2 linked regions of the Drosophila melanogaster genome follow. The protein of the gene in region 2 binds, or shares a complex with, the protein of the main gene of each other region. Each region holds a gene or a part of one and is shown on either strand. Other genes may lie near its edges. The genes, in order: Cbp80 and Cbp20.

Region 1 (5,049 bases), on a different chromosome or scaffold from region 2:
CACCTGGTGCCGGCGATGCCCAATTGCATCCGGAATTGGGCTACCGCTTGCCCAACTCCTCGCCACCGCAACCGATCACACCGGCTGGCAATCCGTCCTCAAACTTATATACCCATCATCAGACAGTGCAGTTTCCCAGCTCCAATTCGGGTTCTTCCGAATCTCTGGAGGAACAAGATCAGGATTTACTGCTGCGGACACCACAAATTTATGGGCAGGCTTCCAAGTATCAAACAGCCAAGCTGCCACCTTTGCTTATCTATGCGGGCGGCAATTCCGGCGATGATGACAAGTCCTTTGTGCAAAGCGAACCGCTGGAGGAGACCGTCTATCGCTATTCCGAGCCGGATCCTTTATATGTCCACCAGAACCCCATCGATGTGCTGCAGGATAAGCAGCCGCCGGAGGAGGAAACCGATAAGGGACAGCATCAGGAGCAGGCAAGTGACCAAAAGCGAGGGGAACAGCGCCCAGTGGTCAGTTTGGAGCAGCCCGAACTGAGCACAACTGTTTCAGCGCCATCTTCCAACGCTGGCACAACCACTGAGACTGCAAGCACTGAGAGATCCACACACGTCATCCCCACCACGATCGCCAGTTTTGTGTCCACCTCCACGCACTTTAGTCCATTGCGCTCCATTAGTAGGTATCGCACCACGCCAAAGATAACAGCTGGACGATCCACCACAACCACTACATCCACCAGCACGGAACCACCGCTGAATAAGTGGGCCAAGCGGCGAAAGGAGCAGGACAGCAAGGCCAAGAGCAGTCACCGCCACGAAGCCTTCGTTAGCACCACTTCGTCAACCAGCACGACAACTTCAACCACAGCAACTCCGCCGTCCACAATCGCTGCATCCACTGGCGTTCCATTGGCGTCGCCACTGCCACCGGCACCATCCAAGGAAGTGGTGGAGGTGCTCACCCAGAAATCGGTTAGTCGATCTGTGAGCATCAAGGTGGGCGAGAACGGCGAGGAGATACCCATCATTGTGGACGACGAGGAGAACGAGGTGAAGCCAGTGCTGACTAATTAGCTGCCTACCCATCTATCTTAAATCCTAATTATCCTATCCTATATTTAAGCCTAGCCGTAAGCACACTTAATCCCACAATAAATTCAAGTAATCCGTACGGCACGGGGTCAGACTCACCTGCCTCCTCGTTGGCGTACTTGTAATTGGGCACTGGCGTCAAGGGAATCAACTTGGCATAAGTCGTTGGCATCATTTCCGTAATGCGCTGATGATACGAAAGGCTGTCAAAGATGTATGTAGTTGAGTATCAATGGTTTGTACACAGACACGGTTATAACCTACCGTAGGCACTTCTGCAACACCTCCTGGATGAATTTGGGACGCGGATGCTCGCCGTCGAGGAGCAGACAGCTGTCCCATTCGTCCCATGACCATGTGAACTTGAAGTTGCTCAGATGATAGGAGAACCAATTGACGAACCGATCGAAACATGACGTGTTCATCGAGTCGATGCGCATAAAGAGGATCTCGGTGGCCTGGGCCAGAACCTGGGGCAGCGTGGCCGGCTGCAGTTTGCAGAGTTCGATCAAAATGGAGCCGTAGCAGATGTCCAGATAGCGCGGCGTGGGCATATGAAAGAGCTCGGCGAAGACCACCTCGACGATGCAGTACTCCAGCGGGATCTTGTGCTTGTACGGAAAGCTAAGCAGCTGGGCGGCGCAATCCTTTCGCTCGTGATGGTATGTTTCAATGATATGGTGTAGATGCTCCTCAATCAAAAAGCGCTCTATTGAGTGGGCACCCGGCAGATTGGGCCCATCGGGGCAGTCGGTGTAGTCGAACATGCGGTACACCACCCAGGGCATGGGATACTCAAAGTTGTCGTGATGCGGCGGCGGCACAATCGTGGGCAGATTGTGCTGCAGTGCCTCGCAAAGTATTGAATCGAATACGAGATAGGGTCGTGGTATATGCTTCTCCGCCCAATTGTCCTGCCGCAACTTGCGTATCTGCGCCCACAGGCAGTCCAAGTACTCCTCCTGTGGATGCGGAGCGTCTGAGGACCACACCCTCAGCGCATTATGGTGCTTCTTTGAGCGTTTGTTTAGATAGACCTCGATCCTAAGCAACAGGGACTCCAGGGCAGACTCCTTCTTCTCGTAGAGATCGCGACCCACCCAGGGTAGCGTGGAGAGCACAGCAAAGACGAACCAATCGCGACGCACCTGGGGCACTGTATCCTCGTTGGAGACATCGATCATGGTGTCCAGCAGCTGGAGGAGACTGGTGGCCGAAATGACGTGGCAATTGACCAGGTCGGCCAGAAAGCGCAGCGAGTAGCGGGCGGCATCCCAGCGGCACATCTTGAGGGACTCCTTGAAGGTCTTCACCATGTGATCCACGAACTCGCCGCCAAACTTGTAGTTCTTGGCATTGAGCAGGCCCACCAACGTGGTGTAAACGGTACACTTCTCTGGCATTCGCACGGCGCAGTCGGACAGGATGCGCAGGATCTTCAGGCGAAACGTGCCCAGATCGGCCTCCAGAACGGAGACGAGTCCCTCTAGGTTCGATTCCACGGAGGAGGTGCTACGCTCGCCCACCCGCAGTATCAGCGACTCCAGACGATCCTCGATCTCCTGGTTTTCGGACACACGTCTACGCTTGTTGCGCCGATGATCTGCAATTAAATGCCCCCATAAATGCTTTGCGTTCATGATTACATCGATGCCCACTTACCATAGCCCTCATCCTCCGTGTCGTGAGCCCTCCTGCGACTCATCTTCCCGTGAATTTTCTGTGAATTTTGCGGAAAACACCGATTACCGATTGGTCCTTGGCCACCGGCAGACAGAAAAGCACGCTGATGGGTACACCTCTTGGACCTGGACTTTTTCGGGGATCCTGGACAGGATACGCTTGACGGATGGGCCTTGTTGGTGCGTCTAGTATTTCACTGCGAGCGTCAATTAGCTTGCCAACTTTCAAAACAGCTTTGTCACAATTTTCACAAAAAACGCGATGCGATGCTATTTTTTTTTTTTGCCAAAGAACTAAAGATGTGCCGCCATCGATGGCAGGGTTTATCGATAACAGCGGCGGCGTAAGCGGCGGACTGAAAATGGGGCCTGAATAAACGTTTTCTTTGGCGCCATATGCGCAGAATTGCGGCATACTCAATTAACCAAAACATACCACTGACTGACTTACAATAAAAATCTGTTGAATGCCACTGCTACACAACTATCGATAGAAACGGTTGCCGGCAAGTGCTGCAATCTAGTCTTATGCTGCCTATCGCTTTTGCCCATCTATACATTCCACCGCGGAATTTTCCTTGCATTTTATGATGAGCTTTCCACGCATGTTATCACTGTGCCTTAGCGTGCTTGTAATACTGCCGCTTCCCCTCCAGTCGGTGGATCCCCTGACCATTGGTGCCGTTGGCGCCGTGGCCCTTGGGGCGTACTTCAAAGAACATACATATTGCCGGTTTGCCGAATGCTGCGATGACCGAAACATTCCGGCGAGAATAGATGGTGAGTGAGTAGTTTTGTATGCAACAAAATGACTAACCAGTACAGTGGGTAATTACAGAATTAGAAAGATCCCTGGAACGCACCCTCATTGGCCAGCACATCGTGAGGCAGCATATCGTCCCCGCACTGAAGGCGCACATCGCTTCGGGCAATAAGTCACGGAAACCGCTGGTCATCAGCTTTCACGGCCAGCCCGGTACGGGCAAGAATTTTGTGGCTGAGCAAATTGCAGATGCTATGTATTTGAAGGGCTCCAGGTCGAACTATGTAACCAAGTATCTCGGACAAGCTGACTTTCCCAAGGAAAGTGAGGTGTCTAACTATAGGGTGAAAATCAATAATGCGGTGCGCGATACCTTGCGTAGCTGCCCGAGATCTTTGTTCATCTTCGACGAGGTGGATAAAATGCCCAGCGGAGTATTCGACCAGCTCACCTCGCTGGTGGACTACAACGCCTTTGTCGATGGCACGGATAACACAAAGGCAATCTTCATCTTTCTCTCGAACACGGCGGGCAGTCATATAGCCAGTCATCTGGGTAGTGTGATGAAGAATGGTAGGCTGCGCGAGGACACACGACTGAGTGACTTTGAGCCCCTTTTGCGGAAGGCCGCCTATAACATGGATGGCGGTATGAAAAAGACCACCATGATTGAGTCTCATGTTATCGATCATTTCATTCCGTTCCTGCCGATGGAGAAGGCGCATGTGATCAAGTGCCTGGAGGCGGAGCTTTTAAGGTGGCGGCGCGATCCTAAGCAAGCGAACAACCAAAAAATCATTGAGGACATAATAAACTCCTCCATTAGTTACGATCGCACGCACAGCTTGTTCGCCATTTCGGGCTGCAAGACGCTGGAGAAGAAGGTGGCCATGGCCATTTACTGAGAAAGGACCGACCGACTCCACATTTTAATGCTTAGTTTGGGTTTCGGTTTGTATTTAAAAAACTATTTTTTCGGAATAAAGAAAACAAATTTTAACTACCAGGGATTTAGCCACTTGAGGCGGGCATCTTTGCGCAGCAGATCGGTATCCAGTCGCTTGGGCTGCTCGTCGTAATCCTGGCGAGCCGCCAGGCGGGTATCGATGGGTCCCAGGTCCTTGGTTACCAGGCACTCGCCGTTCTCCTTGAGTATCGTATGCCGGACATCCTGGGCAGTGGGCTCTCCGTAGGGGAACGTGACCGGCGTAACCTTAATTAGATGCTTGATCTTCCACAGGCGGGCATTGTTCTCCGGTATGTTCTTGACGACAGTAAAATCGCTCTGCTTTCCGTCTAGTCCCAGATCTTTGAGGATTCGATTCTCCCAGTAGGGATTGCCCTTTAGCGGCTTGATGCGCTGCACCCGGAAAAGTTTCGCCGGCTCCACGGGTGGATCCTGGTGATCGGGAGTCCTGAGCGGGATAGATTTAGCATTAACAAATGCTGGATTTCGTGTGTTTTCCTTTTATACACTGCACACGTGAATACGAACCTGGGATAGTAGGTGATACCCTCAAATTTCTGGCCATTTTTGTAGAGGAAC
Region 2 (3,216 bases):
CTTCACTCCAGGCTGCTCAAAGGTGCGTAGGTAGCATAGTTGCAAAGTCATCTGCTTTGAGTTTCCGAATATTGTAGAAACTTCCAGCAGTATAGTGTAATTTATGCAGCTTATGTATTCCAACTGAATAATGCATTTCCCCACACCCACAGACCCACTTGCCCGGCTATGTGAGCTCCGCCGATGAGCTGAAGTCCAAGCAGGGCGTGGACGAGATTGTCTGCGTTTCGGTCAACGATCCCTTTGTGATGTCCGCCTGGGGCAAGGAGCACGGAGCCGCGGGCAAGGTGCGCCTCCTAGCTGATCCCGCCGGCGGTTTCACCAAGGCCCTGGATGTGACCATCGATCTGCCACCACTTGGCGGCGTGCGCTCAAAGCGCTACTCGCTGGTGGTGGAGAACGGCAAGGTGACCGAGCTGAATGTCGAGCCCGATGGCACCGGACTCAGCTGCTCGCTGGCCAACAACATTGGCAAGAAGTAAATGGAATCCAGTCAGCCCGAAAACACTAGAAACTCATACATGCTAATGCTAGGCCGCAATGATATCAATTACGTCTTCAAAAGAACTATGTAAAACGTACAATATATATGCGATTAGAGATGTTATGTCTAAGGGGTATGCTTTAATATCTAATTGGGGGGCTTATAGTCTTTACAGTCATTTTATCTAATAACTAGCGATTGTCCGTGTTGGGTGCAATCTTCTGTGACAACAGTTTGCCATAACCCCCGCGGCCGGCATCGTAATCCGTGCGGTATTCATCTCGCACCTGTCCGCCGGTTTTGCCGCGTCCATACTGCCTGCCCTCCACGAAGCCGGCGTCCCAGTCCACACGAATCAGACGGTCGTCCAAGCGAGTGCCATTCACAAATCTTTTGTGGGAGAAGAAAAGAGTGTTGAAGTTAGTTAAGAGATAATGATACCCCATCTGATTACTTCTACAAATGCCGGAAAAAAGGCGGCTTTTTCTAGCGTGGAGAGATGGATATGGCTCACCTCATGGCCGCCTCCGCCTCCGATCGGACATAGTACTCCACGAAGCAGAAGCCGCAGGGCGTCTTCTTATACTTGTCCAGGCCCATCACAATCACACGAACATCGCCGCAGCGGGAGAAGAGCTCGTGGATCTGCTCCTCGGTGGTGTAGAAGCTCAAGTTTCCCACGTAAAGTGTACACGAGTCGCGGAGCGATCGCTCTTGCTCGGAGCGCGAGCCCTGCAATTGGTTTATTGAGTCGGAGATCTGCTGTGGCGCCTTCGGATGTACTCACCTTGAAGTGCTGATCGCGATATGAGCTTAATTCCACAGATGCGAACATATTTTTCAGCTACAAACTATTGAAATATTTTCTCTGCTTTTATTTAGTGACGGCACTCTATTGACTGATACTTCGATAGCACTTTGAAATATGAATCGGTGAGCTAGTGCATAAAAAGTTTACTGGGTAGCAAAAATATATTATTTTAAAATTCGTTGTATACTTATATATCAATTTCTCTCATGGCCCTAACGGGAACTTATTCTTTAAGCTTAGAATAAAAATCATTGCAAATATTAACCATGTTAATATAATATAAACTAAGCTGTTACTTTAGGCGATAGTTCTGTACATTCGATACACACACTGTTTACGTTTGGGTATTTTCGGCACGCGTTAGTACATTTTCATATAACTGCTGTTTCACCCCGAAATTTTGTAGCTCGTTGTTATTGTTAATTTTATGGACTCCGCACACCGTACTTAATGAACGCCACACTCAATTCCGCGGGCGGCAAGCGTCAGCTGCGCTTTCGCGGCGACGTCACCGGCAGCCGAGTGGAGGAACTGCATCATCAGCAGCAGGAGGAGCAGAAGCAAAAGGCGCCGCTCGCCCAGGATGACGTTGCAGCGACGCCGACTGCGACGCCGGCAGCGGGCTCAGCGCAGCAGCGACTGCAGAGCGGTAAACACGGATTTACTGATTGGAAAAACATTCTTTTGAATTATTATTATTTAGTTCTTAGGATGACATTTACGTTAACTAATTTTAATTGGGTTTCGCGCTATTTCATAGCAACTTTACTTTTGATCATAACATACACATTTGCCTTAGATTTGATGCTATATTTAAAGTTCTAGAGAGATTTTTAATTAACTTAAATTCCAGATAAAGCTCTTAAAAACCTAATATATCATAATTTGCAATTTTTGAAGTTGTTTTAACTAAGGATAAGGATGTATAATCAATGATTTGTAATCAATCGTTATCTATTTTACTTAAATCATTAGAATCTATGCATATACTTTATATTTGATTCATACTTATCATTCATTTTTCTTTTATTTTTGCAGGAACCGCCGAAACCTGCACAAACACATTCTACGACTTCTTCAAAGTGGAGATGACACGCGGCTATATGCTGGAGCACGACGAGGAGCGCTATTCGGCGCGTAGGCAGAAGATCTACAGCTTCATGCGCATACCGCGGGATCTGGAGCGATTCATGGTGTACGGGATCATGCAGTGCGCCGACTCATTTCTCTACATTCACACTTTTCTGCCCGTCCGATTTGTGATGGCCGTTTGGGCCCTAGTTTCCAGGACGGTGGCAAGAATCTTTCGACTACGCAGCAGCGGACAAAGGCTGCTATCGCCGGCGGAGATCTGTGATCTGCTGAAGGGCGTCATCTGGATGACGGTGACGCTGATAATGCTCCTGGTGGACACGAATCGGGTGTACCACATCATCAAGTCACAGTCGATCATCAAGCTGTACATATTCTACAACATGCTGGAGGTGGGCGACCGGCTGTTGTCCGCTTTTGGTCAGGACACGATCGATGCTCTCTTCTGGACGGCGACAGAACCAAAGAATTCCAAGCGAGAGCACTTTGGAGTGCTTACGCACGTTCTCTTCACGCTAATCTATGTCTTCTTGCACAGCGGACTGATCATGTTTCAGGTGAGTAATGGTAGCTTTATAAACCACATTTTCTCTGTGATTATATTGGTTTGGTTTCTAAACTATTCCTTCAGGCCACCTGTTTGAATGTGGCGGTGAACTCCAACAACAAGGGCCTGCTGACCATCATGATATCGAATAATTTCGTGGAGCTCAAGGGATCCGTGTTCAAGAAGTTCGACAAAAACAACCTGTTCCAATTGACCTGCAGCGATGTACGAGAGCGATTCCATCTGTCTGTGCTTCTGTTCATTGTGGTCATCCAGACCATG

What was found.
Region 1: Cbp20 (region 2) and Cbp80 share a complex: the UniProt entries of both Drosophila melanogaster proteins name them as parts of the nuclear cap-binding complex.

The regions. Positions count from the first base shown.
Region 1 is NC_004354.4:4,648,044-4,653,092, reverse strand, and holds the start of Cbp80 (cap binding protein 80), read right to left. Parts: upstream 3,044-5,049; 5' UTR 2,764-3,043; coding exon 2,721-2,763; intron 2,662-2,720; coding exon 1,323-2,661; intron 1,262-1,322; coding exon 1,158-1,261; intron 1,139-1,157; exon of another isoform or gene 1,041-1,138; coding exon of another isoform or gene 1-1,040. Other genes in the region: CG15473 (uncharacterized protein), read left to right, coding at 1-1,040; torsin, read left to right, coding at 3,328-3,520, 3,579-4,408; mRpL30 (mitochondrial ribosomal protein L30), read right to left, coding at 4,504-4,918, 4,999-5,049. UniProt on the Drosophila melanogaster protein: Component of the cap-binding complex (CBC), which binds cotranscriptionally to the 5'-cap of pre-mRNAs and is involved in various processes such as pre-mRNA splicing and RNA-mediated gene silencing (RNAi).
Region 2 is NT_033777.3:18,162,832-18,166,047, reverse strand, and holds Cbp20 (cap binding protein 20), read right to left. Parts: upstream 1,388-3,216; 5' UTR 1,320-1,387; coding exon 1,272-1,319; intron 1,217-1,271; coding exon 999-1,216; intron 875-998; coding exon 676-874; 3' UTR 609-675; downstream 1-608. Other genes in the region: Prx5 (peroxiredoxin 5), read left to right, coding at 1-22, 153-482; CG7218 (uncharacterized protein), read left to right, coding at 1,746-1,944, 2,334-2,944, 3,019-3,216. UniProt on the Drosophila melanogaster protein: Component of the cap-binding complex (CBC), which binds co-transcriptionally to the 5' cap of pre-mRNAs and is involved in various processes such as pre-mRNA splicing and RNA-mediated gene silencing (RNAi).